3 linked regions of the Macaca mulatta genome follow. The protein of the gene in region 1 purifies or fractionates together with the protein of each later gene. This does not show direct contact. Links are inferred from orthologs where the notes say so. Each region holds a gene or a part of one and is shown in the gene's direction. Other genes may lie near its edges. The genes, in order: NUP153, RAN and NUP133.

The links.
Region 2: the proteins of NUP153 (region 1) and RAN purify together in Homo sapiens (affinity purification with mass spectrometry; 5 studies listed by BioGRID and IntAct, counting the BioPlex papers as one, with this or other methods). This does not show direct contact. The link is inferred for Macaca mulatta from reciprocal best matches to the Homo sapiens genes NUP153 and RAN.
Region 3: the proteins of NUP153 (region 1) and NUP133 purify together in Homo sapiens (co-immunoprecipitation; 3 studies listed by BioGRID and IntAct, with this or other methods). This does not show direct contact. The link is inferred for Macaca mulatta from reciprocal best matches to the Homo sapiens genes NUP153 and NUP133.

What each region holds. Positions count from the first base shown.
Region 1 is NC_133409.1:165,352,546-165,363,202, forward strand, and holds the start of NUP153 (nuclear pore complex protein Nup153), read left to right. Parts: upstream 1-5,556; 5' UTR 5,557-5,730; coding exon 5,731-5,841; intron 5,842-10,657. UniProt on the Homo sapiens protein: Component of the nuclear pore complex (NPC), a complex required for the trafficking across the nuclear envelope. Functions as a scaffolding element in the nuclear phase of the NPC essential for normal nucleocytoplasmic transport of proteins and mRNAs.
Region 2 is NC_133416.1:138,249,568-138,260,345, forward strand, and holds RAN (GTP-binding nuclear protein Ran), read left to right. Parts: upstream 1-4,965; 5' UTR 4,966-4,997; intron 4,998-5,462; 5' UTR 5,463-5,472; coding exon 5,473-5,508; intron 5,509-5,713; coding exon 5,714-5,798; intron 5,799-5,880; coding exon 5,881-6,006; intron 6,007-7,414; coding exon 7,415-7,602; intron 7,603-8,505; coding exon 8,506-8,676; intron 8,677-8,775; coding exon 8,776-8,820; 3' UTR 8,821-9,181; downstream 9,182-10,778. UniProt on the Homo sapiens protein: GTPase involved in nucleocytoplasmic transport, participating both to the import and the export from the nucleus of proteins and RNAs. Switches between a cytoplasmic GDP- and a nuclear GTP-bound state by nucleotide exchange and GTP hydrolysis.
Region 3 is NC_133406.1:19,534,308-19,544,963, forward strand, and holds the start of NUP133 (nuclear pore complex protein Nup133), read left to right. Parts: upstream 1-4,072; 5' UTR 4,073-4,182; coding exon 4,183-4,364; intron 4,365-6,241; coding exon 6,242-6,360; intron 6,361-10,532; coding exon 10,533-10,636; intron 10,637-10,656. UniProt on the Homo sapiens protein: Involved in poly(A)+ RNA transport. Involved in nephrogenesis.

The sequences.
Region 1 (10,657 bases):
GCGTGAGCTACCGTGCCCAGCCTGAGTGTAGCATTTTTAAGGTGAATTATCAGTGATAAGTGCTAATGATTAATAGATTATAAAATAGTAAACTTTAGTATAACTCAGTAAATGGTAAAGTGTAGCATACTATGTAGACAGAGATTGTTTTACAGTTTTGTATACTGACATACTAAATGCCAAGACTAGAAACCAACACTTAAATATCTCAATAAATATTTGTGTTTTAATGAATTAATCTCAGTTGATTCATTAACTGTCTTAAATGTTAGGAGGGGATTGCCTTCCTACATTTGGTTATTATTTCATCCAATAAAACTGAATTTCCATTCAAGATTGAATTTAAAATATGCCTTAAACGATAATGTAATGTACATAAACACATATATACCAAAGCCTAGTATACACTGATACATGTAGTCAGGAAGAGGAAATATATGGCATGTTGGAATCAAGTGATATATGTAGTTAATCAAAATTTGCTCATATTAGTTAATTAATTTAGTCTTAAGTGTTTATTCCTAAAAGAGAGAGAACACAGTAAGTTAATGGGAATATAATGATTTACATCTTTAAATATCTTCCCATTGTGTGGCTCTTCTTTCCCTAAAGTACAAGCAAACAGGGAACAAATAAATAAATAAATCCAATAGCTTCATTTTCTTTATTTTCTTTCTTTAGAGATGGGGTCTCACTCTGTTAGCCACGCTGGACTGCAGTGGTAAGATCATAGCTCACTGCAGCCTTTAGACTCCTGGGCTCAAGTGATCCTCCTGCCTCAGCCTCCCCAGTAGCTGGGACTACAGGTGCACACCACTATGCCCAACCAATTTTTTCATTTCTTTGTAGAGAAGGGGTCTTGTTATGTTACCCAGGCTGGTTTCAGTCTCCGGGCCTCAAGTGATCCTTCTGCCTTGGCCTCCCAAAGTGCTGGGATTACAGGTATGAGCCACATGCCTGACCAGGAATATACTTAAAAATAATAAAGTATAGTATCAACAGGAAATTGCAAGCAGTGCCTGTTTAAAAAAAAATACATAAACCAGTAATAGCCACTTTTCATTATGAAGTATTCTGTACCGTACATAATTGTATGTGCTCCACTTTTACACAAATGGCAACACAGTAGGTTTGTTTATACCAGCATCACCACAAACATGTGAGTAATGTGTTGCAATAAGACGTTAGGACAAAGACAGTATCAATAGGCAACAGGAATTTTTCAGCTCCTTACAGGACCACCATTGTATATTGGGCCCACTGTTGATTGAAACATTGTTATGCTGTGCATGACTGTGATAATTTGTTTTAATAGACATCATAGCAGATACATTTTGTTTTGGTAGAGTGAAATAACTACATAAAACTTCCTAACTTCTTGTACTTGTCATCTTTAAACATTCCTTTGGCCAGAATTGTATTATTACCTTCTGAAGAATGTATGATAGCTCTTTTTCAATCTAGGTTGGGCTTAGACTAAATTGTATTTCATTTTTAATTAGTGGATACTCCTTATCTATTAGAGATAGGTCAGCAGCCTATTTGCTAATTTATAACTGGCAGCTGGTTACATATATATATATATTTTTGTTTGTCTTGTTTTAGTTTTTTAATTTTTTTGATAGGGAGTCTCACTCTGTGACCCAGGCTAGAGTGCAGTGGCATAATCTCAGCTCACTGTAACATCCACCTCCATGGTTCAAGCGACTCTCCTGCCTTCGCCTCCTGAGTACCTGGGACTATGGGTGAGCACCACCACGCACAGCTAATTTTTCTTTCTTTTTTTTAAGTAGAGACGGGTTTCACCATGTTGGCCAGGCTGGTTTCGAACTCCTGACCTCCAGTGATCTACCCGCCTTGGCCTCACAGAGTGCTGGGATTACAGTTGTGAGCCACTGTGCACGGCCCCAGTTTTTGTTTTTGTTTTTTTTTTTTTTTTTTTTTGAGACAGAGTCTTGCTCTGTCACCCAGGCTGGAGTGCAGTGGCAGGATCTCAGCTCACTGCAAGCTCCGCCTCCCGGGTTCACGCCATTCTCCTGCCTCAGCCTCCCGAGTAGCTAGGATTATAGGCGCCTGCTGCCACGCCTGGCTAATTTTTTGTATTTTTAGTAGAGACGGGGTTGCACTGTGTCAGCTAGGATGGTCTCGATCTCCTGACTTCGTGATCCACCCACCTCGGCCTCCCAAAGTGCTGGGTTTATAGGCGTGAGCCACCGCGCCCAGCCTATGCACGGCCACTTTTTACTATATTATATGGGGAAAAAATAAAGAAGTTTCGAGAAGGACTATTGTGGCAACAAGCTTTTCATGAATTGCAGTGTCTCCCAATGTGCCATTTGTTTTGGCTGAAAAAACTAGGCCCATGTTGAATGCAGATTTCCTCCTGTCTCTTATTCCTTCTTTGCTCTCAAGCCTGGCATGACTTCCAATGATTCAATCACATGAACGTGAGATTAATATATTATAGTTCCCTCAAATCCTATTTTACTTCCAAGAAATAAAAGAATTGTGGAAATGGGTAAAAAGTTGAGAGCATGGGTAAAAGGAATGTGGATTTTCCCATATCTCCTCAAGTTCTACCAATCTTCTATTTCTGAAGCATTGTCTACATTTGGCCCAATTCTTTCGCGTCTCTCTTCGTTTCAAAAGTTGGCTGTGAAGGGTGTCCGGCACATCAAAGAATGGCCTCTAAGAAAGGGGTGAGCTTTGATTCCAGTCAGTCCTCTGTTCTGTGGTGGAAACTCCTGAGTCTGATAGAGTGAAGAGGGCAGATGGGATGTGGCTACAGTTTAATCTCCTCTACATATAACCCAATTAAAGATTCAGGTACAGATCTTCCCTATGAGTTAACTTATCGTGAATTACTTTACTTGGCTATCAAGTATCTAGCTATGGATTTGTGGAAGAGTAGGATTTCTGCATAGGAGGAAGATAGCACTTGAGGGAAACAATTGTCTTTAAGAAAGATGAAGTGCTTCAGGAGGAAGAGGGGACATACTTGGAGAGTTTAGTGGGAAGTTAGTGGTGGAAGGAGGCATGAAGCTAGGATGGGAGAGTGGAAGAGAAAATAGATTAATTTTGTTTATCATATTTGGCAACTTGTCTTGATTTTGATGGTTATGGTCAGAGGTGCCACTGAAAGCCATTGATGTGTACACCTATGCTTGGTATAGCATAGTTTCTTTAGGCACTGAAAGGTACAAGTTCAAAGGTACTAGAAGATTGGCTTTACAATTTCACTTGTATGATTTAAACCGTGAACCTGAATTGTGCAGTTGGATTTTGGAGATAGTATAAATGTCTTGGAACTAATTATTTATATCTGATTCATGGTTGATATTGGATGCTTTCTATCTAAGCAGTTATTATGAACTAGATATACATTCATCCTTTCACCAGACCACTGCCCTGTGAGGTCAATATTCACTCTATTTGCAGATGAAAAAACGAAGCTTAGAAACAGGATCAGTGGGCCGGGGGCGGTGGCTCACGCCTGTAATCCCAGCACTATGGGAGGCCGTGGGCGGATCACCTGAGATTGGGAGTTTGAGACCAGCTTGACCAACATGGAGAAACCCTGTCTCTAGTAAAATACAAAATTAGCCGGGCGTGGTGGCACATGCCTGTAATCCCAGCTACTTGGGAGGCTGAGGCAGGAGAATCGCTTGAACCCTGGAGGTGGAGGTTGCCGAGATTGCACCATTGCACTCCAGCCTGGGCAAAACAAGAGAAAAAAACTCCATCTCAAAAAAAAAAAAAAAAAAAAAAAAAAAAAAAAAAAAAAAAAGAAAGAAACAGGATCAGTAACTTCCCAAAGGTTACACAGCTAGTAAGTGGCAGATTTACAGTAAATTGACTGGGAGTGGTGGCTCACACCGGTAATCCCAGCACTTTGGGAGGCCAAGGTGGGTGGATCACTTGAGGTCAGCAGTTCAAGACCAGCCTGGCCAACATGGCGAAACTCCATCTCTACTAAAAATACACAAATTAGCTGGGCGTGGTGGTGCACACCTGTAGTCCTAGCTGTTTAGGTAGCCGAGGCAGGAGAATCACTTGAACCTGGGAGGCAGAGGTTGCAGTGGGCCAAGGTTGCACCACCGCATTCCAGCCTGGGCTACAGGGCAAGACTGTCTCTCAAAAAAAAAAAGAAAGAAAGAAAAAATAAGCTTTATAGTAAGTCTAAGATTTTTCACAATAGATTTTTCCTCCCTAATCATTTGGCTATTTGTCTTTAACTCTTACAGAAAAGTTGGGTTATAGTCCTGGCTTTGATTACCCATCTCAGTGTCATTGATTGTGCCACCTAAATTTCTCTGGACCTCTTGTCTGGTTGGTTGAATGAGAGGGTTGGACTATGTGATCACCAGGGCCTTTCTAATCGTCAACTCCTAGAATATATATTTTGTGGATTCAGTCTTTGAGTCTAGTTCACTTACTCAGTTTCCTAAATACAATGCCTTCTATTTGGAGCAAATACGGTATACTTTTATTAGTAAGGATGTATCTATCACTTACCTCTAATGTTAGCTGACTGTATGGGTTAAAATTGTAATCATTCATTGCATTTTTCGCCTATTAGTAAATATACATGCTCTCCATAGATGATCACGTCTGCCTCTCACAACAGCTTTATAAAACTCCCATTTTATGGAGGAGGAAGCTAAGGCTCAGACGGTTTTGATTCATCCAAGGTCAAATAGGTTGGGTGGCGGAACCAGAATTCCAGCCCCGTGTGTCTGGCAACAAAGCCTTTATATGTTTAAATAAACATTAATGAAGTCGTATATATTTTCTAATTCTAAGGATCATGGACATTGTTTTTCAACCACAGATTTTTTTCCTCCTTCTTAAATCATTAGCTCTTTGATTTTACTATCTGCTTACTTCCTGCCCACTTAACCAACCGACAGGGAGAAGGAGAGTGGGAAGAAGTTACTGTTTTTATGTTAAGTGCCTTTTCAGAGTCTAATTTACAACCAAGAACGGCAAAAGTACCCCTTGGCTTTGTGCCTCTGCGGCGCTCCGGGGATCTCCTTCCCCGTCCCTCTCCCTTTCCGAGAATCCGCGTTCCGTTGTTGAACTACGTTTCCCAGCGTGCCGCGCGGCCGAGAGAGTGGACTCCATCAGTCCTTCCTCTTTGCCTACCAGCTCGTCGTAGCATGATGATGCAAATGCGTCGGGCGCCTGTGAGTGACGACATTCTGGCTCGCGACCGCGGCAGCCGCCTTAGCCGCGGTAATAGGCGCAACGGCGGCGGAGGCTGCAGGGACGACGACGACGGCGGGGCGGGCGCTGTGCGCACAGGGGAGGGGTAGGCGGGCGGCGCCAGCGGCTTCAACTGCGGCAGCTACGGCTAGGGCGACGGAAGAATCCCCACCAGTCGGCGGTCGAGTTAGGCCTCAGCACCGCCGGGAGCTGTTAGTGCTGTCCTCTGCGGGAGATCTCCATAGAGACCGTGACATACACAGAGGCGGGGGTCCGCAGAGGCGGCGGGACCGGAGCCTCCTCGGCCTCTGCGGCCGCCACCCCCTTCCCCGCTGCCAGCACTCACCCTCTCTCCGCTCCTGCTCGCAACCTCGCGGTTCCTGGGGTGCTTGTGCCCACTGTGTGGACAGCTCGGGCGGACTTTTGGGCCGGGGCCGGGCGGCGGGGGGGGCGCTCTAAGGCCTCCGCCTCTGCCTCTCCCGCCCCCTTACCCGCCCCGGAGCGGGAAGCGGCGGAGGCTCCGCCATGGCCTCGGGAGCCGGAGGAGTCGGAGGGGGCGGTGGCGGCAAGATCCGGACGCGGCGTTGCCACCAGGGGCCAATTAAGCCTTACCAGCAGGGGCGACAACAGCATCAGGTATGGGACCCCGACGCCGCGGTGGCCTGGCGGGTGGGGAAACTCGGCTGGAGGGGACGGGCGGTTCGAGGCCCCGGCGCCCCACGTGGAGCAGACAGGAGGGCCTGAGGAAAGGCCCGAGTGAGGCTTCGGGGGAGCTCAGGCCGTTGGGGGTGGCGACGGGAAGTGGGCTGAGACAGGTCCAGCCTTGCGGCGCACACGTGTGGTTTGGGCCGCCTTTCCCCCAACCCTCTGGGTCAGGGGTTTTCCCAGGCAGGCTCTGGGCGGGAAAAGAAATTGTAGGCCCAGGATGCGCGCGTTTCTTTCTTTTTTGGCGGGGATTTGGAGTTTGAGGGTATTACTCACGTCCTCTCGAGGGAGAAAGGAAAAGTTGTGGTTGATTGCCCTTGTTGTTTTCTGGTGTCCCTCCTTTAGTGTGTGTGTGTGGGGAGTGGGCTGCCCCGAGGAATCTTAACTCTGGGGCAGACGGGGAGTTGTGGGGGGCGCTGTTACATGGAAAGTGGAATAACTTAGTCTCAGCCTATGAATTAATTCTCGGTTTCCCCTGCCGGTGTTCCTCCTCGTCTTGAGAGCATTGGCTTAGGTTTTCTTAACCGGGTTATAGTTAACCGTGGCACTGGGGCATTTTGAAAGTCCCTCTCCACCCTTACGTCTTTTCTCTGCTGCGCGACTCCCCCCCACCCCCGCTTTTATTTTGGAGGCTGGAATTGGCCATTCTCCACAGTTGACCAGGACTCCAGCTCTGATCTCATACACAAAATATTTTAATATTATGAGGCGTATTCTAGAAGTTTAGTTACTTTTGACGCTCCAGGAATGTTGGTGATCTTATAGTTTAGCCAGTGTATGAATTCGTGGATGTTTAAAATTATAAAAAAAGATTATCGTAATTGTAAATGAGGTAGTTGATTCTGAGAAAATTCCATTTTTAAAATAATTGGTTGTTAGAAGGATTGAATAGGAAAATGTTAACTTATTTTAATAAAGCCACTTAAAAATTTATCAATGATACTGAGGTGGGAAGTGTGTGTTTTAAATTTGTTGAAAAACAAAAGTGTAGCAAAAGGATCTGATAACTTGTTGCCTACTGTTAAAGGTAGACTTCCTAGATTACTTTATTCTGGATGCTAATAAATATTACACACTTTCACATGGTTGATGTTGTTAAATTGTGTCATTATCAACAGATTTGTAAAAGTATGGGTCGGGCGCCTTGGCTCACGCCTGCAATCCCAGCACTTAAGGAGGCCAAGGCGGGGGGATCACGAGGTCAGGAGATGGAGACTATCCTGGCTAACACGGTGAAACCCCGTCTGTACTAAAAATATAAAAAAATTAGCCGGGCGTGGTGGCGGGCGCCTGTAGTCCCAGCTACTCGGGAGGCTGAGGCAGGAGAGTAGCGTGAACCCTGGAGGCGGAGCTTGCAGTGAGCCGAGATCGCGCCACTGCACTCCAGCCTGGGCGACAGAGCCAGACTCCGTCTGGGGCGGGGCGGGGGGGAAGGTAAAGATTTGAGGACTTTTTTTTTTTAAGTTTTCTTAAATGTTTTTTATTTTGAGGGAAATGTTTGAGTAGTGAAAATCGTGGCTCAGGTATTTTAAGTCGTTCTCTACTGATGGTTAGGTTTGGCATTGTTATTACTTCTACCAATTTTCCCCGAGATATATATGTAAAGTACTTAGTTTTCAAATTTGTGACGAACAGGGGTATTTGCAAGCAGATTTAAGATTAGAATTCAGGTCACAAGCCTGGCCATTTAACCTAATCCTTCTATAGAATGGAAGTTAGACATGCATGCTTTCTTTTCTCCTATGAATGCCTTTGAGTGCTTAGATTTTCTTGTATGACATGTATAGAAAAATGACGTGTTTTAAATATAGGTCATTGGATGGTCTGGATAGAGGTTAGAAGGGAATTAATATTTTCCAAATGTCTGAAGTTATCACAGCTTATTTTGAAATGTACTTAGATAAAATAAAAATCTAATTTTGGGGAGACGATGCCTTAACAGCATAATACCTATGATCCAAGGTGTCTTAGAGTTGATATGGCTTCAGGCTGTGTAGTTTTGTTTTAAATCTTGATAGTTTATCATTGCCCCTTATCTAAAATACTTTTGCTTCTTGCTCTGGCTATTTAATTAAAAAAGAAAACATATTTTAGCTTTTGAATTGGGAATTAAAGGTATTTAGGGGTTTCTTGATCAACACTGTAGGTGCTCTTTAATATTGTCAGAAACTACCACTACCCAAGAAAAGTATTCAGGTACATTCAAAAGAATACTCTATTTTTTTTTTTTAATCTTAAAAATAAGGGCTTTCTTTAGTCCTTATTGAGACTTTGGTGAACATAGGGTCTACTCACTTGCTGTCTACTATCCTAGACTGTGAACTGGATGTTTTGCAGCAGCTGCTGAGTCATCATGAAGCAAGCTTCATGACATGGCATGTTTTATACTCATGTTATTTGATTAAGTGTCCAAGGGTTTCTGAGCAAAAATTAAGCTTTTGGTAGTATAGCGGAAAGCTGAAGTAAGAAACAGTGAGAGGTCTGGTGCTCTTACTTGATGGATGTTTGCCAGTGCCTGTCAGGGCAACTTGCTAGTACGGTCACCCAGTACCTGTGACTTCTGCATGTGTTCATTTGACTTGTAATTTCCTGTTTTGACTTCTGGATTTAGCTCTCCTGGGAAATGCTATAAGTTTACCACTTTCCCTCTTAAGCTCTGATTTTTTTTTTTTTGAGATGGAGTCTCGTTGTGTGGCCCAGGCTGGAGTGCAGTGGTGCAATCTTGGCTCACTGCAACCTCCGCCTCATGAGTTCACGCCATTCTCCTGCCTCAGCCTCCCAAGTAGTTGGGATTACAGGCATGCGCCACCACACCTGGCTAATTTTTGTATTTTTAGAGACCAGTTTTCGCCATGTTGGTGAAGCTGGTCTCAAACTCCTGACCTCAGGTGATCCGCCCACCTTAGCTTCCCAAAAGTGCTGGTATTACAGGCATGAGCCACTGTGCTGGGCCCAACTTCTGATCTTTAAAATGTCATCTTGCATGAAGTCGTGCAGACAAATTCATTGTCTTGCTCAGATAACTGCAGGGTAATAAGGGTAATAACTCTTACGAATTGTAGAAGCAAATATGAAGAACATCCCTGAATAATGCAAGCTGATCATTCTCACTTGCCTTCTCCCTTACCCCTTTACCTTTTTGCCCAGATGCATTTAGGAAATGGTGTCATTTTTCTTTTCTTTTCTCTTTTTTCGAGATGGAGTTTTGCATTTGTTGCCCGGGCTGGAGTGCAATGGCGCAATCTCGGCTCAGTGCAACCTCTGCCTCCCGGGTTTAAGCTATTCAGCCTCCCGAGTAGCTGGCATTACAGGCATGCGCCACCACACACGGCTAATTTTATATGTTTTGTACAGATGGGGGTTTCTCCATGTTGGTCAGGCTGGTCTCTTGGCCTCCCAAAGTGCTGGGATTACAGGCGTGAGCTACCTTGCCTGGCCAGAAATGGTGTCATTTTTCTAGTTGGGAGTGAATAGGTCACTGAAAAGAATGTGGTTAGTTCCTGTCTTCCTTTCCCATTTCCTTTTTGTTCAGATCCTCAGGCACAGAAAGTCAGCTCTTTGGAGAGGTTAAGCTGCTTGCTTTTCTTAGTAGCCACTACAAAAAACTTGAGCCCATGGGCAAACCAGAACCTTGCCTCTGGCAGAACTTACTGCCACCTCCTGGTGAGAGGAAACCACTTATTTTTGCCCTTTTTGACCAGGGGAGGGGATGGGGGTGTATGGGGAGTGTGCTTCAGACATTTATCTTCTGGTTTAGAGCTAAGGGACTCCGCCTTTAATCCTACTTGATATGGTTTGTCTTACAAGTCAGTTCCTGCATTTAGCACCTCCCCCCCCACCCCCCAGACGGAGTCTTGCTCTGTTGCCCAGGCTGGAGTGCAGTGGCGCAATCTTGACTCACTGTAACCTCCGCCTCCTGGGTTCAAGCAACTCTCCTGCTTCAGCCTCCTGAGTAGCTGGAATTACAGGCATGCACCACCACGCCCGGCTAATTTTGTATTTTTAGTAGAGATGGAATTTCTCCATGTTGGTCAGCCTGGTCTTGAACTCCTGACCTCAAGTGATCCACCTGCCTTGGCCTCACACAGTGCTGGGATTACAGGCATGAGCCACTGCTTGGCTATTTTTAAAAAGGGGAAGGAAACCTCTTTATCAGTAGCTTAGATCAGGGTTCAGTAAACTTTTTCTGAAAGGGACACAGATAGTAAATTTTAGGCTCTGCTGTGGTAAATTGTCCTTTGTTTTGTTTTTAACAATCCTTTAGCAAATGTAAAAACCATTCTTAGCTTGTATGAAAAAGGCCAAGGTCTGAATTTGGCCCAGCCCACAGATCATGGTTTGCTATACCATGGTTTATATGATAATATAGTTTTTATTTGTTTTGGTAGCTTCTTTGTGATACTTCATCCCAAATAAGTATGTCCTGCCTGGTGTCTGATAGCTGGAGTGTCCTCAGATTTGAAAAGGAGGGATATTTAGAGGTTGAATATTTAAATCATTCCAGAAGCCACCAAGTTCTTGACTTTTATTTTGTCCTTATTTGCTTTATCCTAGATGCTTAATCAGTGGGAATAGAAGTGGAAACATTGATAGGATTGGATAGTTGATAGGAAAAAATTGTAGTGTGGTGGAGTCAACCTGAGTTTGGATCCCTGTTCTACCTGGACTTGGACGAGTTAATTTATTCATCTGTAAAGTGAAAATTGTTGTGGAGGTTAAATGGGACAAGTGGAGCTTTTAGAACAGG
Region 2 (10,778 bases), on another chromosome or scaffold:
TTCGATAAGTGTACAGTGGTTATGTAACAGAGTGTCCTTGGTTTTAAGAAATACGTCGAAGGGCGTCCTGTTTGCTACTTACCTCAAACGTTTCAGAGAAAAAAAGTCATATATATACACACACCGAAATATATCTTTATAAAATCACATACAGGTATATAGGTGAGATCAGCTGGGGCAACATAGTGAGACCCCATTGCTACAATAAAATTAAAAAAAAAAAAATTAGCTGGGCCTGGTGGCACATGCCTATAGTCCCAGCTAGTTAGCAGGCTGAGGTGGGAGGATCACTTGAGGCCAGGAGTTCCAGGCTGCAGTGAACTATGATTGGGCCACTACACTCCAGCCTGTGTGACAGAGACCCTGTCTCTAAAAAACACTAGAGACTAAGGAGGCCTGAGAAACAAGCTAAAAGCGTTACATGTAATCCTGGACTGGATTCTTGTAGGGGAAAAACGCCAAAAGGTAGAAACACTGATGTTCTCATCACCCAGAATTGTACAAATGGTTAATATATTCTCACCTTGCTTTGATTACCCTTTTTAAAAAAAATTTTCTTTCTTGTTTTTTTTAGAGACATGGGTTTCGCCATGTTGCCCGGGCTGGTCCTAAACTCCTGGCTCAAGTGATCCATCTGCTTCGGCCTCCCAAAGTGCTGGGATTACAGGCGTGAGTCACCGCACCCAGCCTGATTACCATTTTAAAAAAAGAAATGGAACATTGCAGGTAAGGTTAAAGTCTTCTGTGACCTCTCTCCCCAGTTCCATCACACTCCTATGTATGGAGAGAGAGAAAGGGAGGACAGGGAATGACAGAGACAAATGAAAAAGCAAGTAATGTTAAGATTTAGGGAAAACAGAGGGAAGGGTACGTTGAAATTCCTTGTACTATTTTTGCAACTTTTTGGTAGGTCTGCATATAGTTGGTAAGTCTGCGTATTTGGCTGCAATTTTTTAAACTACAGTTTAAGCACAGGTTTGCAATTCATGTTGGATGGCAAAGACAAGTTTAAGTATCTCTACAAACTGCAAAGCCATTGATAATCAGAGGAGTTTTTAGCAGAGAAAACAATACCTAAAACAATTTCAGGCCAGGCGCGGTGGCTCACGCCTGTAATCCCAGCACTTTGGGAGGCCGAGACAGGTGGATCACGAGGTCAGGAGATCCAGACCATCCTGGCTAACACGGTGAAACCCTGTCTCTACTAAAAGTACAAAAAATTGGCCAGGCGCGGTGGCTCAAGCCTGTAATCCCAGCACTTTGGGAGGCCAAGACGGGTGGATCACAAGGTCAGGAGATGGAGACCATCCTGGCTAACACGGTGAAACCCCGTCTCTACTAAAAAATACAAAAAACTAGCCGGGCAAGGTGGCGGGCGCCTGTAGTCCCAGCTACTCAGGAGGCTGAGGCAGGAGAATGGCGTGAACCCGGGCGGCGGAGCTTGCAGTGAGATGAGATTGCGCCACTGCACTCCAGCCTGGGCAACTCCATCTCACAAAAAAAAAAAAAAAAAAAAGAAAAAGAAAAAAAAGAAGCAAAACACAACAATTTCAGTATATTTTCCTGTTTTCACTCTGCTCCTAAGGTGGTCTTTGTTTCTGAGATGGGTCTCACTATGTTGCCAAGGCTGGAGTGCAGTAGCTATTCACAAGTGGGATCATAGCTCACTACAGCCTTCTGACCTCAAGCAATCCTCCCCTCTCAGCCTCCATAGTCGCTGGGACAACAGGTGCGTGCCACCACATCCGGCAAGATGATCTTTAGAAAGTTCCGAGCTTGGGCTGGCTAATAACACTCACAGCTGAGATACCACGCCAGAGCCCCATTGAAAAGGCCAGGTGCTAGAACAACTAATACTCTCGGTTTGACATATTTCCACTTGGTATTTTTGTAGGGGAAAAAAATGCCAAAAGGTATAAACACGGGTGTTCCAATGCCCAGAACTGTATAGTAGTTAATATATTGTCACCTTTGCTTTGATTACCTTTTTTCTTTAAATTTTTCTAATTAATTAAAAAAATTGTCATCCTTGGCTGGGTGCGGTGGCTCACGCCTGTAATCTCAGCACTTTGGGAGGCTGAGGCGGGCAGATCACCTGAGGTCAGGAGTTCGAGACAGGCCTAGCAAACATGGCGAAACCCCATCTCTACTAAAAATACAAAAATTGGCCGGGCGTGGTGTCGTGGGCGTGTAAACCCGGCTACTCAGGAGGCTGAGGCAGGAGAATCGCTTGAACCCGGGACACAGAGCTTGCAGTGAAATGAGATCACGGCACTGCACTCCAGCCTGGGCAACAAGAGTGAGACTGTCTCAAAAAAAAAAAAAAAAGAAAGAAAAAAAGTAAAAGAAAAAATTGTCATCCTTGCGCAGGTGGCATGCTAATCTTCTCTGTATCATTCCAATTTTGGTATACGTGCTACCAAAGTGACCACTCGATTACCTATTCCAATATAATGAAACCCCATCTCTACTAAAAATAAAAAAATAAAAATAAAAAAAATTAGCCGGCTGTGGTGGCGCATGCCTGTAATCCCAGCTACTCAACTAGCTGAGGCAGGAGAATCGCTTGAACCTGGGAGGCGGAAGTTGCAGTGAGCCGAGATCACACCACTGCACTCCAGCCTGAGCGACAGTGAGGCTCTGTCTCAAAAAAAAAAAAAAGAAAGAAAGAAAAATAAAAAACAAAAGAAATAGAATATTGCAAGTAAAGTTAAAGTCTTCTTTGACTCCTCTTCTCAGTTCCATCACACTCCTTTCTACCCTTTCTTGAAGCAGTAACCATCAGGATATGGTATGTATATCCTTGCAATTAAAAAAAATACATATATCCAATAGCCAATATGCTTTTATGTTTTTGTAAAAAACGTACACAAATGACATTATACTATATATATAATCCCTCTAGATAAAGTTACATATAGTGTTAGGCTTTATGTAATAATTTTGGAAACAGGGTCTTACTCTGTCTCCTAGGCTGGGAACTCCTGGGTTTAAGGAATCCTCCTACCTCGGGCTCCCAAAGTGCTGGGATTACAGGTGGCCTAGACTTTATAAAGCTATTATCACCTCTTTCTGCTTTTCTCAACATTATCCTTTTGACGTCTATCTAAACCTGTGGAAACAGACGACCGTCAATCCTTTTAAATGTTATACAGCATTAAATGTTGTGCACATGTGTGAGGCGTGAGTTTAACTCTCGAGCCTCTCCCTAGAAATGGAAATCCACGGTCACAAGCAATGGGCATTCCCGTTTTACTGTTAGATTCTGCTCTCCCGCGAGAGGTGCTTGGCGTTCCCCTGAGGGTTCTGGGGGAGCTCGGACTTGCGTTCCCAGCAGGCCGGTTCTCCCCCGCGTTGTGACCAATTTGCGTCACTGGGGTTCCCAGCGGACTCAAGTGTGCCCAGGACTGCAGGGAGGACTCCTCGGTTACCGGGACTCTTTCACCATGCTGGACTCTTCTAAGGCGCTTGACTGCGCTGATTTGAGCCTTTTTCCGTCTGCATGTCGGCAGGGGCGCCCAGGAAGTCGGGGTCGCTCTAGCTCAACCTTGTTTGGAGTCTTACAGCTTCAGGCCAACACGGGGCTGGGAAGCTGAGCACTTATTCCGTCCGCGTTCGTAACTGGGGCTGGAAGACGCGCCCAGACTGCAAACAAAATTTTATCATTTTGTTTGTAGGACGCAGCGGCCAAGGCTGCCAACCTATGAAACGCTTTGAGAAGCTGGGCGCTTTGGGAGGCCGAGGCGGGTGGATCCCCTGAAGCCAACCTGGGAGACATAGTAAGATCCTGTCCCTAAAAATTAAAAAAAAAAAAAAAAGAAAAAAAATTACCCCGGATGTGGTGCGCGCCTGTAGTCCCAGCTAATTGGGAGGCTGAGGCGGGAGGATCGTTCGAGCCTGGGAGTTCGAGACCAGCCTGGGCAAAATAGCGAGACTCTGTCTCTTTTTTTTTTTTTGAGACTGAGTCTGGCTCTGTCGCCCAGGCTGGAGTGCAGTGGCCGGATCTCTGCTCACTGCAAGCTCCGCCTCCCGGGTTTACGCCATTCTCCTGCCTCAGCCTCCCGAGTAGCTGGGACTACCGGCGCCCGCCACCTCGCCCGGCTAGTTTTTTGTATTTTTTAGTAGAGACGGGGTTTCACCGTGTTAGCCAAGATGGTCTTGATCTCCTGACCTCGTGATCCGCCCGTCTCGGCCTCCCAAAGTGCTGGGATTACAGGCGTGAGCCACCGCACCCGGCCGAGACTCTGTCTCTTAAAAAAAAATAAGTAGCCATTTTCCGGGGTGGGGGCATCCCTCTCTGGTTCCTCGCTCTCCAACTGGCCCTGGTCCTGGGGGCGTGAAGGCTGCGATCTGGAGAGACAGAGCCGCGGGCTGACTCTGGAGGCCCAGCCTAGGATCCCTTCATTCATTCATCCGTTCTGTCACTCACCCGTCCTGCGCGCACGCGAGCGCCATCCTAAGCCCCAGGACCCCAAGTACCCCAACCCCACGGGGCACAGACAAGGACTGGCTGGCCAGCGCCTGGAAGCCGCGTGCCTGACCGCGTCTGCCCAAGCGAGTACCGCCTCCCACCCAAGAGGTAGCACGGCCGCGACAGTCCGGCCGCGCCCAACGACTCCCGCCCAGGGGCGCGCCGCCTCCCTGTCAGCGCATGCGCGCCCCCGAGCCCGCCCTGGGCGCCGGCGCACGTGGCCCCCACGGGCCGGCATGCGTGCGCGCTCCCGGCTCGCCCTCCCACGCGGTCCATCGCGCCTCCCGCCCCACCCTAAGCGCAGCGCCGGCCGCAGCGGCCGACTGAACCAGGTTGCGTGCGTGCGCGCGCGCACGCGCGGGCCACGTGGGCGGGCGCCGTGCCGTTGCCCCGCCCCTTGTCAACCCCGCCCCCGTCGGCCCCGCCCCTGCCCGCGCGCCGGCGTCGGCTGCGTCTCCGGCGTTTGAATTGCGCTTCCGCCATCTTTCCAGCCTCAGTCGGACGGGCGCGGAGACGCTTCTGGAAGGTAGTGAGACGCGGCGGGCCGGGCGGGGGCAGGGCCGGGCGGGGACAGGGGCGGCGGCGGCGGGATAGGGGCCGGAGCCGGGGTCAGGGCCGGGGCAGGTGGCGGGCCCAGGGACAGCGGGCGGCTGTGAGTAGGTGGGTGGCGCGGGCCCGGCCGTGCCGGGGCAGGAGACGGGCATGGGGTCGGCGCCCGCCCCCGCGAACCCCCGTTTCATCCTCCGCTCTCATTCCCGTCCCGGTCTCAGTCCCGTCCCTATCCCGACTCCTCCGTCCGCCGTTCCCCGCGCCCCGCCGCCCCGGATGCCGGCCCCGCCCGCCGCCTTCCCGCTCCGAGGCCCGGCCGCCATGGCGCCGCGGGCGGGAGGCCTTTGTGGGGCGGGCACGTGGGGCGCTGGGGGCGCGGGAGCGGGGCCGCCATGGGCTGCGGGGCCGCGCGAGCGCTCGCCTCCGTCCTCTGCCTCCGCAGGAACGCCGCGATGGCTGCGCAGGGAGAGCCCCAGGTCCAGTTCAAAGTAGGTAACCCTGCGGGGCGGGAGGCGGCCGAGTCCGACCGCGTGCGACTCGCGGGTCCCTCCTCCCGGACCCACGATGGCTGTAACGGGGCCCCGCATCCATATTCTTTGTTTTAAGTGAGCCTGTGATGGTTAAAGTTCCATGACTCTGGGATCTTGAGAGGTGAAGTGTTTTGGGTTTACTTCCAAATGTGTTCTCCAACAGCTTGTATTGGTTGGTGATGGTGGTACTGGAAAAACGACCTTCGTGAAGCGTCATTTGACTGGTGAATTTGAGAAGAAGTATGTAGGTATGTGCAGGAAAACCTTGCTTGTGGAAATACGTGAGAAATGGGTAAATTCATCCACTCAATCATGTCGTTTCCGTTTTAGCCACCTTGGGTGTTGAGGTTCATCCCCTAGTGTTCCACACCAACAGAGGACCTATTAAATTCAATGTATGGGACACAGCCGGCCAGGAGAAATTCGGCGGACTGAGAGATGGCTATTATATCCAAGGTAGGCATTTGTAACTTGCTGAACAGTTTTTGAGAGGTTTTGTGTACTTCAGTTTTCAAGGTTATAGAAAATCAGGTCTGTTCCAACAAATAGTGCTTAATACTGTAATGGGAATTGTGTCATTTCTGGGTTAAAAAAAGACGTGGACTTCAGGGAGTTGACCACCATTTTGGTGGCAGAGGAGAAAATTTTATGAAAGTTGCATGCTGTGTCATGCTAGGCATGGTTTAGAAAAACCTATGACTTACACTGGAACTTATAAGTCATGTTTAAAACAATAACAGGCTGTTAACAGCAGTTTCAGTATTTGAAAACTTTGGTTCTTGTGTGTAGTTTGGTGTGGCGATCAATGAATATTTCTAGTCCATTACAAAGCAACACCAGATACTAGACCAGAGGAGATAGGAGGTCTTAACAAGTGTTATACAAGACTAGCCGATTTCTTGTTAAATTGTTTGTAGTAAGTTGTGCAGAGTATTTTTCTCAAATAGTTTGATTTAAAAATCTCAAGGAAAATGTTCATTGTACCAAAAAGAGAGGAATAAACAAAATACTCATCTCTCCTGGAACCTCACGTTGCTAATAACACATTATCTGGAATCATTCCATGCCTTTTGCTCTTCTTGAACGTGTACATATAAACACAAGAATTTCCCCCCCAAAAAATCCTTTAACCAAAAAGTTGTGGTTTCTTGCCTTACTAACTGTACCATAGTTATTCCTGCAGGTGAGTATATAGACTTTATCTGGGTTATTTAATTTTTTTTTTTTTGAGACAGGGTCTTGTTTTGTTGCCCAACCTGGAGTGCAGCTTCCGCCTCCTAAGCCTCAGCCTCCTGAGTAGCTGGGACTACAGGCACCTGCCACTTTGCCTGACTAATTTTTGTATTTTTTTTTGGTAGGGATGGGGATTCACCATGTTGCCCATGCTGGTCTGGAACTCATGAGCTCAGGTGATCCACCCACCTCAGCCTCTCAAAGTGCTGGGATTACAGGCATGAGCCACATCGCTTGGCCTATCTGGAGTTTTTAAGACAGGAATGATATTTCCTAGTATAGTCGGCCATTTAAAGACTTTCTGAAGACTATTTCCAGGCCCTACCCTCAGAATATGGCAGCTTGGTTCTCCAGAATCTCACTTGGCATTAATTACTTCAGATAGTGTTTTGGGGATGAGGGGAGTATTAATGGTGAAGTTTATCAGGGAGATTTGATAGAATCAGCTCATCTTTCTTAGGAAGAGTTCTGTGTTAATGTTCTTAGAATTGAAAGAGACTTTGAAAGTGAGGGGAGAGATCTAGGTGCCTTGTTGAGGTCTAAGACTATAGTTGAATCCTAGTCTGCGGTTCTTAGCATTCTTCACTTGTGTGGTAAACAGTGTACTAATTACCGCAACTGTTTCTTTCAGCCCAGTGTGCCATCATCATGTTTGACGTAACATCGAGAGTTACTTACAAGAACGTGCCTAACTGGCATAGAGATCTGGTGCGAGTGTGTGAAAACATCCCCATTGTGTTGTGTGGTAACAAAGTGGACATTAAGGACAGGAAAGTGAAGGCGAAATCCATTGTCTTCCACCGAAAGAAGAATCTTCAGGTGTGTAAAATTAAAACTTCCTGAGTTATTTCTCTTAGCGGAGATTGTATGTAAGACCATGAAATTGACCAGTGTCTATTATATATGGAAATGATTTTTTTTCTCCCAAGATGGAGTCCCGCTCTGTCCCCCAGGCTGGAGTGCAGTGACGCAATCTGGGCTCGCTGCGACCTCCGCCTCCCGGGTTCAAGCAGTTCTCCTGTCTCAGCTCCCCTAGTAGCTGGATTAAAGGCATGTACCACCACGCCTGGCTAATTTTTGTACTTTTTTTTTTTTTTTTTTTTTTTTTTAGTAGAGACGGGGTTTCACCATGTTGGTCAGGCTGATCTCCGACTGCTGACCTTAAGTGATCCACTTGCCTTGGCCTCCTGAAGTGCTGGGATTACAGGCATGAGCCACTGTGCTGGCAGGAAATAATTTTGTCTTTTTTTATACTATTGTTTTTAAAGAATGATAGAGATGGGGTTTCACTGTTGTCTGGGTTGGTCAACTGAGATACGTGTGTGTATTTATATATTCTTTGTTTTTTGAGACAGGGTCTTCCCCTGTTGCCCTGGCGGGAGTGCAGTGTCATGAACATAGCTCACTGCAGCCTTGAACTCCTGGGCTCAAGCAGTCCTCCCACTTCAGCCTTCTGAGTAGCTGGGACCACAGGCATTCAAGACCATGCCCACCTAATTTGTTTTTTTGTAGAGATGGGGTCTTGCTCTGTTGCCCAGGCCTGATCTTGTACTATTGGCCTCAGGCAGTCCTCCCACCTCAGCCCCCCCGCAAAGTGCTGGGATTACAGGCATGAGCCACCATGCCTTGCCAAGAATCTTAACATTTTCTTGTCTTGCCATGTCCTAGAAAAATCGTCATCTTAATGAATTTTAAAAGGTAAAATTATTTTCTTTTAAACAGTACTACGACATTTCTGCCAAAAGTAACTACAACTTTGAAAAGCCCTTCCTCTGGCTCGCTAGGAAGCTCATTGGAGACCCTAACTTGGAATTTGTTGCCATGCCTGCTCTTGCCCCACCGGAAGTTGTCATGGACCCAGCTTTGGCAGCGCAGTATGAGCACGACTTAGAGGTATTACGGCCACTTTGCTGTCTAGGCTATAACGTTTGACTTGTATATTCCTGGCAGTTTTGATCTGGAGTGTTAACATTTTTTCATCTCTTCGTCTAGGTTGCTCAGACAACTGCTCTCCCGGATGAGGATGATGACCTGTGAGAATGGAGCTGGAGCCCAGCGTCAGAAGTCTAGTTTTATAGGCAGCTGTCCTGTGATGTCAGCGGTGCAGCGTGTGTGCCACCTCATTATTATCTAGCTAAGCGGAACATGTGCTTCATCTGTGGGATGCTGAAGGAGATGAGTGGGCTTCGGAGTGAATGTGGCAGTTTAAAAAATACCTTCATTGTTTGGACCTGCATATTTAGTTGTTTTGGAACGCGGTTGATTCCTTGAGTTTCAAATATAAGACTGCTACAGTCACATCACAATATTCAGTGGTGAAATCTTGTTTTGTTACTGTCATTCCCATTCCTTTTCGTTTAGAATCAGAATAAAGTTGTATTTCAAATATCTAAGCAAGTGAACTCATCCCTTGTTTATAAATAGCATTTGGAAATCGCTAAAATAGGGAAATTTTATGCCATGTTAATATTTGAATTGCCTTGCTATTATCGCTTAATTTGAAATCTATTGGGTTAATTTCTCCCTATGTCTACTTTTTATTTTTGTACATTTGAGCCATGTCACACAAACTGATTATGGCAGATCAGCAGTATTCTATTTGGTTAGAAGGGTCACATGGTGTAAATATTAGTGCAGTTAAGCTAAAGCAATGTTTGCTCCACCTTCATTTTGGCTAGGTAGGGTCACCTAGGGAAGAACTTGCTCAAAATTTGTGACCTGTCAGAATAAAAAATAATGTGGTTTGTATATATGAAATAGATATTTTAAGGGTAATACTTTTGTTTTATGGCAAAAGTAATCATGTTTTAATGTAGAACTTCAAACAGGATGGAATATCAGTGGATGGCAGGAGCTTGGGAATTCTTGCTGTTAAGTACAAATTTTGCACTTTTTGAATGTTAGATGCTTAGTGTAAAGTTGATATGCAAGGAAAATGGTCCATGTTTACCCACGGTTTTCAGGTACTCCCGGACTTTAAAGATGTCTTGGACATTAAGTTCTTAAGCAGTACACACTACACCGTTTGATTATTTTTTTTTTTCCTCCTAAGGATTTTTTTGTAGGGCAGCACAGCAGAGCAGGACATGGATGAAATACTAGGAATACGCATAGTGGGGCAGTGTGGGGGCTTCTCAGCAATGGAGAACAGTTGGTGAAACCTTTATTTTTATCAAACTAAGCATTTAATCTTGTATATTTCCCACATTTAAAAATGAATTAGGTCTCTATCCTAATTAGGATTTGATCCCATCAACACTATTGTAGCAGTTAGGAATCTTAAGAGCTATTTTTTTTTCATACAATTACTATAGTCCAGTTTACCAAAGTTTTCTTTAGATGTCTGATTATCTTGAGGTGATTACTTACCTTAAAAGGTATAGAAAGGATCACTTACATATATGGAAAAATGAAACAAGGGTGAAGCTGAATAAAGTTCTACTTACTGTATTAACTGGCAACAGTTGAGTTTCTTAAGATCTGAATTGCTGTGTATGTTACGCTGTATTCAGAACCAGTTTCTAACCAGCCTGTGAGATGGGAAGTTTTTTTCCCATAATTGGGATGAAACCTTTCATTCAGATATTTTGAATTGAAGGTGTATGTGTTGTTTGTAACCTTGTGTAGATTGCAAGTGGTGTTGACATTCTGGATCTTCTATGTAACAGTTGAAATTTGGAAGTGACGTCGCTTACCTGTCTAACATGGTGTGGGAGAGAATTTACAAGTCATTTATTGAAAGAATAATTGTTGCAAAATATATTGCTTCGACTTTGCCTGGATTTTTTGAATCATCTGTAGTATTTGCTTTAGGAAATACTGACTAGTTAGCAGAGATTATTATCTTTTATGTGGGGGGTGGGGTGGGGAAGGGGTCATTTCTCTCCAGATTGTACATATGGGAAAAGTTGGCTCTCCCTTTTTTGAAATCTCCTAATGAAAGCTTTATACGAAGTTACTGCAAACTAGTAATAGCTTATTCGAGCAACGTCATT
Region 3 (10,656 bases), on another chromosome or scaffold:
CCACCACGCCCGGCTCATTTTTGTATTTTTAATAGAGACAGGATTTCACCATGTTGGCCAGGCTGGTCTCAAACTCCTGACCTCGTGATCCGCCTGCCTCGGCCTCCCAAAGTGCTGGGATTACAAGCGTGAGATATGCACCCGGCCACTGTTACCATCATAAAAAAACATCTTTGGGAGGGTAGGGGGAGGAAGAGCATCAGGAAAAATAGCTAATTCATGTGGGGCTTAATACCTCGGTGATGGATTTGATAGGTGCAGCAAACCACCATGGCACATATTTTATTTATTTATTTTTTTTTTGAGAGAAAGTCTTGCCCTGTCACCCAGGCTGGAGTGCAATGGCACGATCCTGGCTCACTGCAACCTCCGCCTCCCAGGTTCAAGCGATTCTCCTACCTCAGCTTCGTGAATAGCTGGGATTACAGGTGCGCACCACCCCACGCCTGGCTAATTTCTGTATTTTTAGTAGAGACGGGGTTTCACAGTTCGGCTGGTCTCGAACTCCTGACCTTGTGATCTGTCTGCTTCAGTCTCCCAAAGTGCTGGGATTACGTGCGTTAGCCACTGCGCCCAGCCTATTTACTTTTTGAGACAGAGTCTCGCTCTGTTGCTCAGGCGTGAGTACAGCGGCATAGTATCAGCTTACTGCAACCCCCACCTCCAAGGTTTAAGTGATTCTCCTGCCTCAGCCACCCAAATAGCTGGGACTACAGATGCGCACCACCACGCCTAGCTAATTTTTGTATTTTTAGTAGAGACGGGATTTCACCAGGTTGGCCAGGCTGGTCTCGAACTCCTGACCTCAGGTGATCTGCCCGCATTGGCCTCCCAAAGTGCTGGGATTACAGGTGTAAGCCACCGCCCTCAGGCTCTAACATTCCTTTATTAAATTCTTTTAACTACCTAGCTTGAGGGTACCATCTGTTTTCTCTAGGACTTTTTCTTTTCTTTTTTTTGAGACAGAGTTTTGCTCTGTTGCCCAGGTTGGAGTGCAGTGGCGCCATCACGGCTCACTGCAACCTCCACCTTCCTGGCTCAAGCAATTCCCCAGCCTCAGCCTCCCAAGTAGCTAGGATTACAGGTGCACACCACCATGCCCAGCTAATTTTTTGGTATTTTTAGTAGAGACGGGATTTCATCATGTTGGCCAGACTGGTCTTGAACTCCTGACCTCAGGCAATCCACCTGCCTGGGCCTCCCAAAGTGCTGGAATTACAGGCGTGAGCCACCACGCCCGGCGTTCTCTAGGATCTTATTTGACAGAGCCTAAAGGCCCTTCATAGTCTCTCCTTATTTCTCCAATTTCCTTTACTTTTAGTCTTTCAGGTTGATTTGTCTGTTTAAAGTCCCTGGTTCTAATCCCAGCTACTCAGGAGGCTGAGGCTGGAGGATCACTTAAAGCCACAGGAGTTTGAGACCAGCCTGGGAAATATAGCAAGACCCCATTTTTTAAATTGTATTTTTTTAGAATTTAAAATAAAATTTCTTGGGGAGACAGGGTCTCACTATGTTGCCCAGGGGCTGGTCTTGAACTACCGGCCTCAAGCCATCCTCCCACACCTTAGCCTTGCAAGATTCTGCGATTACAGACGTGAGCCATTGTGCCTGGCGGTGAGACCCCATTTCTAAAAATGTATATATAAATAAAAAATAGGCAGGCGTGGTGGTACATGCCCATGGTCCCAACTCTGAGGCTGAGGCAGGAGGATCACTGACGCCCAGGTCAAGGATGTGGTGAGCTTTGATCACGCCACTGCACTCCAGCCTGGGCAACAGAGTAAGACCCAATCGCTAGAAAAATAATAAAGTAAAATAAAAATAAATAAAGTCCCTAGAATGCACCAAGTCCTTTGCTGCTTCAGGACCTTTGGCCAAGGATCCTCTGCCTGAAATATTCTTCCTCGCATTCTCTTATGCTTCATATCTCAGGTTAAATGTCCTTTTCTCCCAGAGGCCTTTATAGACCTCCATCCAAAAATAGGTAGCCCCAGTGATTCTCTCTCATACACTTTGCTGTTTTATTTCATAGTACACATCTCAGCTTGTAGCTGGATATTTGTGTTCATTTTTTCAGTGTCTTTCTCGTTGGTCTGTAATCTCCATGAGAGTGGGACCCATTGGGCTTTGTTTAGTTATAAACCTTAGCACTTATCACATAGCCTGACAAATAGTAGGTACTCACTAAATCCATAACGAATGGATGACTTTTAGTGCTGTCTGCTCACTATCCTTCAAGTCATACATTTGGACTCCAGGAAAGTTCTTGCTCAAAGGTGCCGGCAAGTCATTCTAACTCCTGCAAACAACAGCTTTTACAATAGGATGGTGGGGAAACCACTAACCAGTCCAACAAGGCACAAGAATACAATTGATTCCACCAATCCTCTCAGACACAACTATTAATACTCTTTATTGCCTATTTCACACCCCTCCTTGTAAGGATGAAACAGGAGGAAAATGCACTGGGCTCTCAGAGCCCTAAGACTCAACAAGCTGCCAAGTTGGATTAGACACCCAGGTTGGAGAAGGAGTAAAGCAGCTAGCCTATGGAACCTTGGCAAGATAACTGCTCAGATGCCACTGACATGCATAGATCGATGACTGGCTTCCCAGGGGAATGTCAACAACTGACACCCACACTGTGGTCTCCCACATGTGGATACATCAATGTTTACTTAACCATCCCCTTATTTCAACACGTGTTGAATGAAAGTCTACTATATGTCTGTTACTGTGTGCCACAAAGGTAACAAAGTCACTGCTCCTGCTGCTTTTAAAAGACATTTACAAGGAGGTACTTGAGAGACAGTTATGAAAACAAACTATTATGCAGGATAAAAATACAGTCTACACAAAGGAGCAGAGAGGACAAAAAGGATAAGGGGTATCTAATCCTGTGGAAGGTTTCACTGAGAAGGCAGCACAGAACTGACTTGATGCGTAAGGTAGGCGCCTTCCGGACCAACAAGGCACAGAGTGCATTCCAGGTGAAACATGTACATGCGCAATGGAGGGGGATTTGGGTTTTTAAGTTCTTGGAATGTGGAGTACAAGTGGGAAGTGGTGGAAGTACAACACGGACAGAAAAGCCAACCTTAGATCACATAAGACCTTGCAAAGGAGCTTAGCAAATAACTACTGGCAATGGTCAGCCACTGAAGCATTTACAGGCCCAAGAGCAGCATTAGGTTTGCCTTAATTCATTGGGTTGGCACTGAGAAGATAGAGTGGAGTCAGACTAGACACAGGTAAGGAACCATCTCCCCGTCTCTCGTCTCTCCCACTCCCTCCCGCTGGCAGTAAAGAGGCTACGCAGTGGTTGAAGAAAAGTACCAGAACCAGGGCAGAGGCGGTGCAAATGTGTGATCTAATACAGATACGTAGGAGCTACAACGTATACCAGGATCTTAGGGTGGAGGTAAGTGTGAGGGATGACTGCAGATAGAACTCCTCTCTTTGCCTTGGACAACTGGCCAGTCTTACCAAGCTGGGACAGAGATGGTGGTAGAAGAGGGGTCCTAAAAGGAAAACATGAATGTGCTTTTCATAAGCGGATTGTGAGGAGTCCGCAAGACTTACAGGTGAATGTGTCCCCTAGGGAGCTGATTTGATAGGGGTCTGGGGGTTTTGAGCTGGATCCAGGTTAGAGACACGGATTTATGGCGTCATTAGCGTGGAAGAAACTGTGCAAAGTTGAATGGGAAAATGGCAAACCTAGAAAACAGCAAATATCACAGTGCGATACCAGTGTCAGCTTTACAAAAGGCTTTTCTCCGTCCTCAGCTTGGACTGAGGAACATCTTTCATTTCACAAGAGTCTCAGGAACTACCAGTGTGAAAAGAGGCTGCGTTCAAGTTGCTGGAGGGCCAGTTCCAACTAGGAGCAGTCAAGAAGGAGGCCTGGCTTTGCGGCTTCACGTCCCTGGAAGCTCTGCACTCCAACGGTTCTGGATCTGCGGCCACGGGCCGCCTTCCCGACCTCCCCCGCGGGCTGGGCACCGCCCTTAACGTCACGATCACGCCCCCGCCAGCGCTCCTACCGCAACTCGCGAGAGCCACTGCGTTTGACGTCATCATCGCGCGCCATCCCTCCCCTTAGGTGTTTAATCTCCGCGGGCAGGCCGCGCTGAAACCCGACGGCCAGATCCCTCGCCGTCCAAGTCTCTGTTCCTTCGAATCATGTTCCCAGCCGCCCCTTCTCCGCGGACCCCGGGTCCCGGGTCCCGAAGGGGCCCCCTGGCCGGACTCGGGCCCGGCTCCACGCCCCGGACGGCCAGCAGGAAGGGTCTGCCCCTGGGGTCTGCAGTCAGCTCTCCAGTGCTCTTCTCACCGGTGGGCCGGCGTAGCTCGCTAAGCTCGCGGTAAGTGATCTCCTTGGTTGGGTCTGGCAACCAGCAGGCTCACGGGCCGCAGTGGGCCGGATCGGTGTCTTCAGAAGCCTTCGGAACCGGGGGCGGCGGAAGAGAATGCCAGAGTATTGGAAAATAGACGTTTTCCACTCTTGCAGGTCATACCTGCTTCACTTTTTGAGTTGATTCCCCACTTTGCATTTTTCGTGGATACCTTTGTGCAGAAGTGAAGTACAAACCGGATTCGCATCAATGGTTACCCACTTCCCACCTACTACCGCTGTGATCGGGCGTAAGTCACTCGTGATTTTCTTCATCTGTGAAATGGCGATAATATGTGTCACCTGAGCCAGAGGAGTTAGTATGAATTGCCACGATGCAGATGTAAGGTGATGGTGATAATGAGGACCTGCAACCCTGAAATATAATTGTTTAATGCCTAATATACCAACTGACATTAATATCTGATGATTGGTAATTGAAGGGTTTCTAGCTACGGAATTTAACTTTCTAGGTAAATTATAGGGAAAAGGCTTTACATAAGTGAGATAAGAGTACTGTGGTAATTTAGTTACTAAAACTGCTGGTTTGGAGCACCAGTAAAATCACACACACCCTTCCCCCCGCCCCCCAACACACACCATGTTCACAATTAACCTAAAACTTTAGAAGATAACGTGTTTCTGCATAGTTTTGTCTGAATTCATCTATAATAAATGAATTTTTCCCTGCAGGAAAACACCGAGTATTGTGTCTTGAAATTATGGTTAAAATTTATCTGTAAAATTTTGCAGTACTTTAAAGGATAAGTGGTTTTTAAAGAATGCACCATATCTTTGTGACTTTTCTTGGGCATATTTTGAAAAGTACAAAGTGCAGATCTTGGCATTGTTTTCTATTCCTTTAACGAAAAGTTGGAGAATAAAAGCGTACTTTATTTACTATGTATGTTGTTTTATTTAAATCTCTTCTTTCTGATGATCATTTGAATAAAAACCTTTGTTATCCTCTGTCAAGAAACAAAGCCCTCAGCCATTCTGTATGTGCATCTCCTCATTTAATTCTCATAAGACATAGAATAACTTATTCTGGTGGCTTTACAGTATTCTAAATGTTAAGAAGAGTGTGAGCAGGAAATAGTTTTTACTCTGATATCTGCTGTTGAAGACCATGTAACAGCTGATGCTCGTAACCTGTTTGATTTCTTGCTTGGTTGTACAGATCTGATAGATTTTTTTTTTAAGAGACAGGGTCTCACTCTCTGTCGCCCAGGCTACAAGCTGGTGCCACAATGCCTGGCTAATGTAAAATTTTTTTTGTAGAGACAAGGTCTTGCCATGTTGCCCAGGCTGGTCTTGAACTCTTGGTCTCAAGTAGTCTTCCCACTTCAGCCACCCAAAGTGCTGAGATTATAGGCATGAGCCACTGCCCCAGCCAGATCTGGTAGATTCTTAAAACCCTAAAGCCAAATGAGAACGTAAATCTCATCTAAGCCAATATTTGTAAAATATATTTGACCACAACATATGGTAAAAGCTGATGTTTTATATTCTGTCTTTCAAAAATATTGATTGAGATCTGCAAAACGACCCACTGTTTGAAAAAAACACTGGTCTAGTTAAGCCTTATTTCACAGCTAAAGAGGCAGAATTATAAGGAGTTTAGGTGAATACAGGCATGCATTTTATTACTAGAGCATATGGAATTGAAGCCTAGTTTTCCTAAATCCTGTCTTTTTACATGAAAAATATTACATTTAATTACATGATAAATATGAGCCAGTGTTAATTTTTTTCAGAGAACTCCTTATTGTGAAAATATATACATAAATAATTAGGATAATGGAAAATTTTAAGTTATAAGTAAGGTAATTAGACTTTTTTCTTTAGAGGAACACCAACACGAATGTTCCCACACCACTCCATAACTGAGTCTGTGAACTATGATGTGAAAACGTTTGGATCTTCTCTTCCTGTTAAAGTCATGGAAGCGCTAACATTGGCTGAAGGTAGGTGTCATCTTTCCGTTTACCTATATTAGCAATTTAGGATGGAGCCTAGATGCGGCATAGAGATTAAATTTATGTTTTCTCACGTATACCTTTATGTAAATGGAGAGAGATGGGTAGCCTCTCTAGTTTTCTTTTTTTTTTTTTGAGGCAGAGTCTCACTCTGTCACCCAGGCTAGAGTCCAGTGGCACGATCTCAGCTCACTGCAACCACCGCCTCCCAGGTTCAAGCGAGTTTCCTGCCTCAGCCTCCCAAGTGGCTGGGATTATAGGTGTGAGCCACCATGCCGGGCTAATTTTTTCTATTTTTAGTAGAGACGGGGTTTCACCATGTTGACCAGGCTGTTCTGGAGCTCCTGACCTCCGATAATCTGCCCACTGTGGCCTCCCAGAGTGCTGGGATTACAGGCATGAGCCACCACACCCAGCCACCTGTCTAGTTTTTTATTTTATTTTACTTTTTTTTTTTTTTTGAGACGGAGTCTCGCTCTGTTGCCCAGGCTGGAGTGCAGTGGCGTGATCTCGGCTCACTGCAAGCTCGTCCTCCTGGGTTCACGCCATTCTCCTGCCTCAGCCTTCCGAGTCATTGGGACTACAGGTGCCCGCCACCTTGCCTGACTAATATTTTGTATTTTTAGTAGAGGCTGGGTTTCAGTGTGTTAGGATGATCTTGATCTCCTGACCTCGTGGTCTGCCCGCCTCAGCCCCCCAAAGTGCTGGGATTACAGGCATAAGCCACGGTGCCCAGCCCTAGTTTTTTACTATAATTGAGATATATAATAAATTTGAGAAGGAGAATGAGTTCATTTGAACACAATCAAATTAAGTCTAATGGTTTTAGGTACTGTACACTAGTCCTCCATTATCTTTGAGGGATATTTTCCAAGATTCCCCAGTGGATGCCTGAAACCTTGTATAGTACCAAACCCTATATATACTGTGTTTTTTCATGCGTACACTCCTATGATAAAGTTTAGTTTATAAATTAGGCACAGTTAAGAGATGAATAGCAATAACTAATAAAGTGGAACAATTATAACAATATACCAGCACTACTCTTGTATTTTGGGGTCATTAAATAAGAATACGAGCATTGCATTACTGCAACAGTTGATCTGGTAACTGAGACAGCTACTAAGTGACAAACAGCTGGATAGTCTCAGGGGTGTCCAATCTTTTGGCTTCCCTGGGCCACACATAAAATACACTTACCCTAACAAGAGCTGATGAGCTATAAATAAATAAATAAATGGATCTGTGTGTAAATCTCATAATGTTTTAAAAAGTTTACAAACTTGTGTTGGACTGCATTCAAAGCTGTCCTGGGCCACACGTGTCCCTGGGCCGTGGGTTGGACAAGCTTGGTGTATACAGTATGGAAATGCTGCACGAAGGGTTGATTCACAACCTTTAGACAGGACAGCATGAGATTTTTATCACTTTCCCCAGAACAACATGCAATTTACAACTTAGGAATTGTTCATTTGAATTTTCCATTTAATATTTTCAGACTGCAATTGACCACAGGTATTTGAAACTGCAGATAAAAGGGGGAAATACTGTATATGCAAAATTCAGTCTTGTTTGAAGAGTTGATCAAGTTTATGAAGTTTACCGTTAAAAAAAAAACCCCAAAACTGGCACTTTATGTTATTGGGTTTAATAATATAGTAAAATCAAGTCCTACCTCTATTTCTGGATCCTATGTAGCATCCCAGAGGCTGTGTGCACAAATTTATGATGTTACCATTGTGGTGGTGTACCTTTAGAAGAGTCTGTTGGCAGAGAATTAGTGTGGAATTTTGACAGATACAATCAACACAAGCTTAGGCAACTTTAAAGATGAACAGTTGGATGACACTGAAAGAGCAAAGTTCAGAGCATCCTTAATATCTGCTGAAGTCATTTTTATTGAGGATTGAATTCTAGATCTTTGTGATTTTTCTGGAACAGTGTTTTTCAAATTGTAGGAGTGACCAAAATTTAGCGGTTCTTGACCAGCATTTAAAAAAAGAAGAAATAGAATGCATCTCATATAATGTTTAGTAAATTTTTGTTTGTTTTACTTAAATTGTATATGGGTGTATCATGATGTAAAATGTATTACACTGTGAATAACTCTATTTACTGTATATATTACTGTTGACAGTAAAAAAAAAAAAGCTGAAAGTACTCTGTTTTAGAAGAAGGAATATATCTCATCAGCTGGAACTTGCACATCTTGCCTATAGGTCCTTGGGAGCTTTAGGGATAGTTGTTTTCAGACAACTAAACTACCAACCTCTATATACATTGTTCTGTTTTAAATAAATATACATATTGTGTATATATATATGTATATTTTTCTCCTCTAAAAATTTCATTTTAAATTACATTTAAACCTTTTAATGTACTCCTGCTATTTTAACAGACTAGATTAAATAACACAGCCCCATATCTAGAAATTCAGAGTCCCTAGGAGTCCGAATATATAAAACAAAGAGATATGTCAACTTGAAGAACTCTTCCGCACTTAGAAACCTGCCAACTACTGTTAAGTCAGCCCTTAAGGGCACACCAGTTGAAGATCTGGAGTCGTTGTAGTGCTTTCAAGAAAAAGGAAATTACTGAGCAGATAGTTCAGTTGAGCAAAAAGTCCTCACTCAGCCTGGGCTTGGTTTGATATTTTCGCTTGTACATTGTGCCTTTTACTTCGCCCTTCTACCTTTCTTTAAAGAGCAAAGTTCGACTTAATAAAATTTCCAGGGCTGTTAACACGTTTGTGGAGGTTTACCACCAATACTAAGACGTATGCTAATTTAGTTTTGTCACTTAATAGAGAATGAAACTCTTTGTCTCCATATAATAAATAATTTATCATTTCTTTAAGGAGCTCTTATTTGAAAATTATGTGTGTTTGAAGGAACATTATTTTCCTTGAAATGTTTTATATAGTTAATGAGTTTATTATTTATCGATATAAATGTTGCTAAATATTTCTTTTTTGTTTGTTTGTTTGTTTTGAGATAGAGCCTCGCTCTATTGCCCAGGCTGGAGTGCAGTGGTGCGATCTTGGCTCATTGCATCCTCTGCCTCCCAGGTTCAAACCATTCTCCTACCTCAGCCTCTAGAGTAGCTGGGATTACAGGTGCACGCCACCACACCCGGCTACTTTTTTTTTTCTGTTTTTGGTAGAGACAGGTTTTCATCATGTTGGCCAGGCTGGTCTCAAACTCCTGACCTCATGATCTGCCCACCTTGGCCTCCCAAAGTGCTGGGATTACAGGCGTGAGCCACCTCGCCCAGTCTTTTTTTGTTTTTGTTTCCGTTTATTTATTTTTTGATGTGGAGTCTTGCTCTCTTGACCAGGTGGGAGTGATGTGATCATGGTTTACTGCAGCTTCAGTCTCCTGGGCTCAAGTGGTCCTCCTGTGCCTCGGTCACTCTAGTAGCTGGGAAGTGCACCACCAAACCTGGCTGGGTTTTTTTTTGTTTTCTTTTTGTTTTTTTTTTTTTTTAAAGAGATAGGGTCTCACTTTGTTGCCCAGGCTGGCCTCAAGCAGTCCTCCCACGTTGGCCTCCCAAAGTATTGGGATTTATAAGCTTGAGCCACCATGCCTGGCCTAAATATGACTTACAGGAAATAAGGTATCTGGTCTGTTTGTAACAAAAAATTAAGGAATATTAAATGTCCCAAATACAACTGTTGCCTTTAGATATATTTCTTTTTTTTTGAGATGGAGTCTGACTCTGTTGCCCAGGCTGGAGTGCAGTGGTGCGATCTTGGCTCACTGGAACCTCTGCCTCCCAGATTCAAGCGATTCTCCTGCCTCAGCCTCCTGAGTAGCTGGGACTACAGGCATGTGCCACCACACCCAGCTAATTTTTTGTAGTTTTAGTAGAGATGGAGTTTCACCATATTAGCCAGGATGGTCTCGATCTCCTGACCTTGTGATCCATCCACCCTGACCTCCCAAAGTGCTGGGATTACAGGCATTAGATATATTTCTAAAGCTGGTTATCAGAGTTAAATAGATTTGTTGTTTTTGGTGTTGATAATTTTGGAATATTCAAAAGTATTTGTTGTGAATTAGTCCTTTCTGAGTGTGCCAATTACTTTTTTTTTTGATAAAGTGTGTGGTGATAAAGATTTATACTATATGATTAGTCACTCACCTCATTTTTTCCTTTAGTCGATGATCAGCTGACTGTTAACATAGATGAAGGTGGATGGGCTTGTCTGGTGTGCAAAGAGAAGCTCATTATTTGGAAGATTGCTCTGTCACCTATTACTAAGGTAATGGCTCTTCAGAGAGC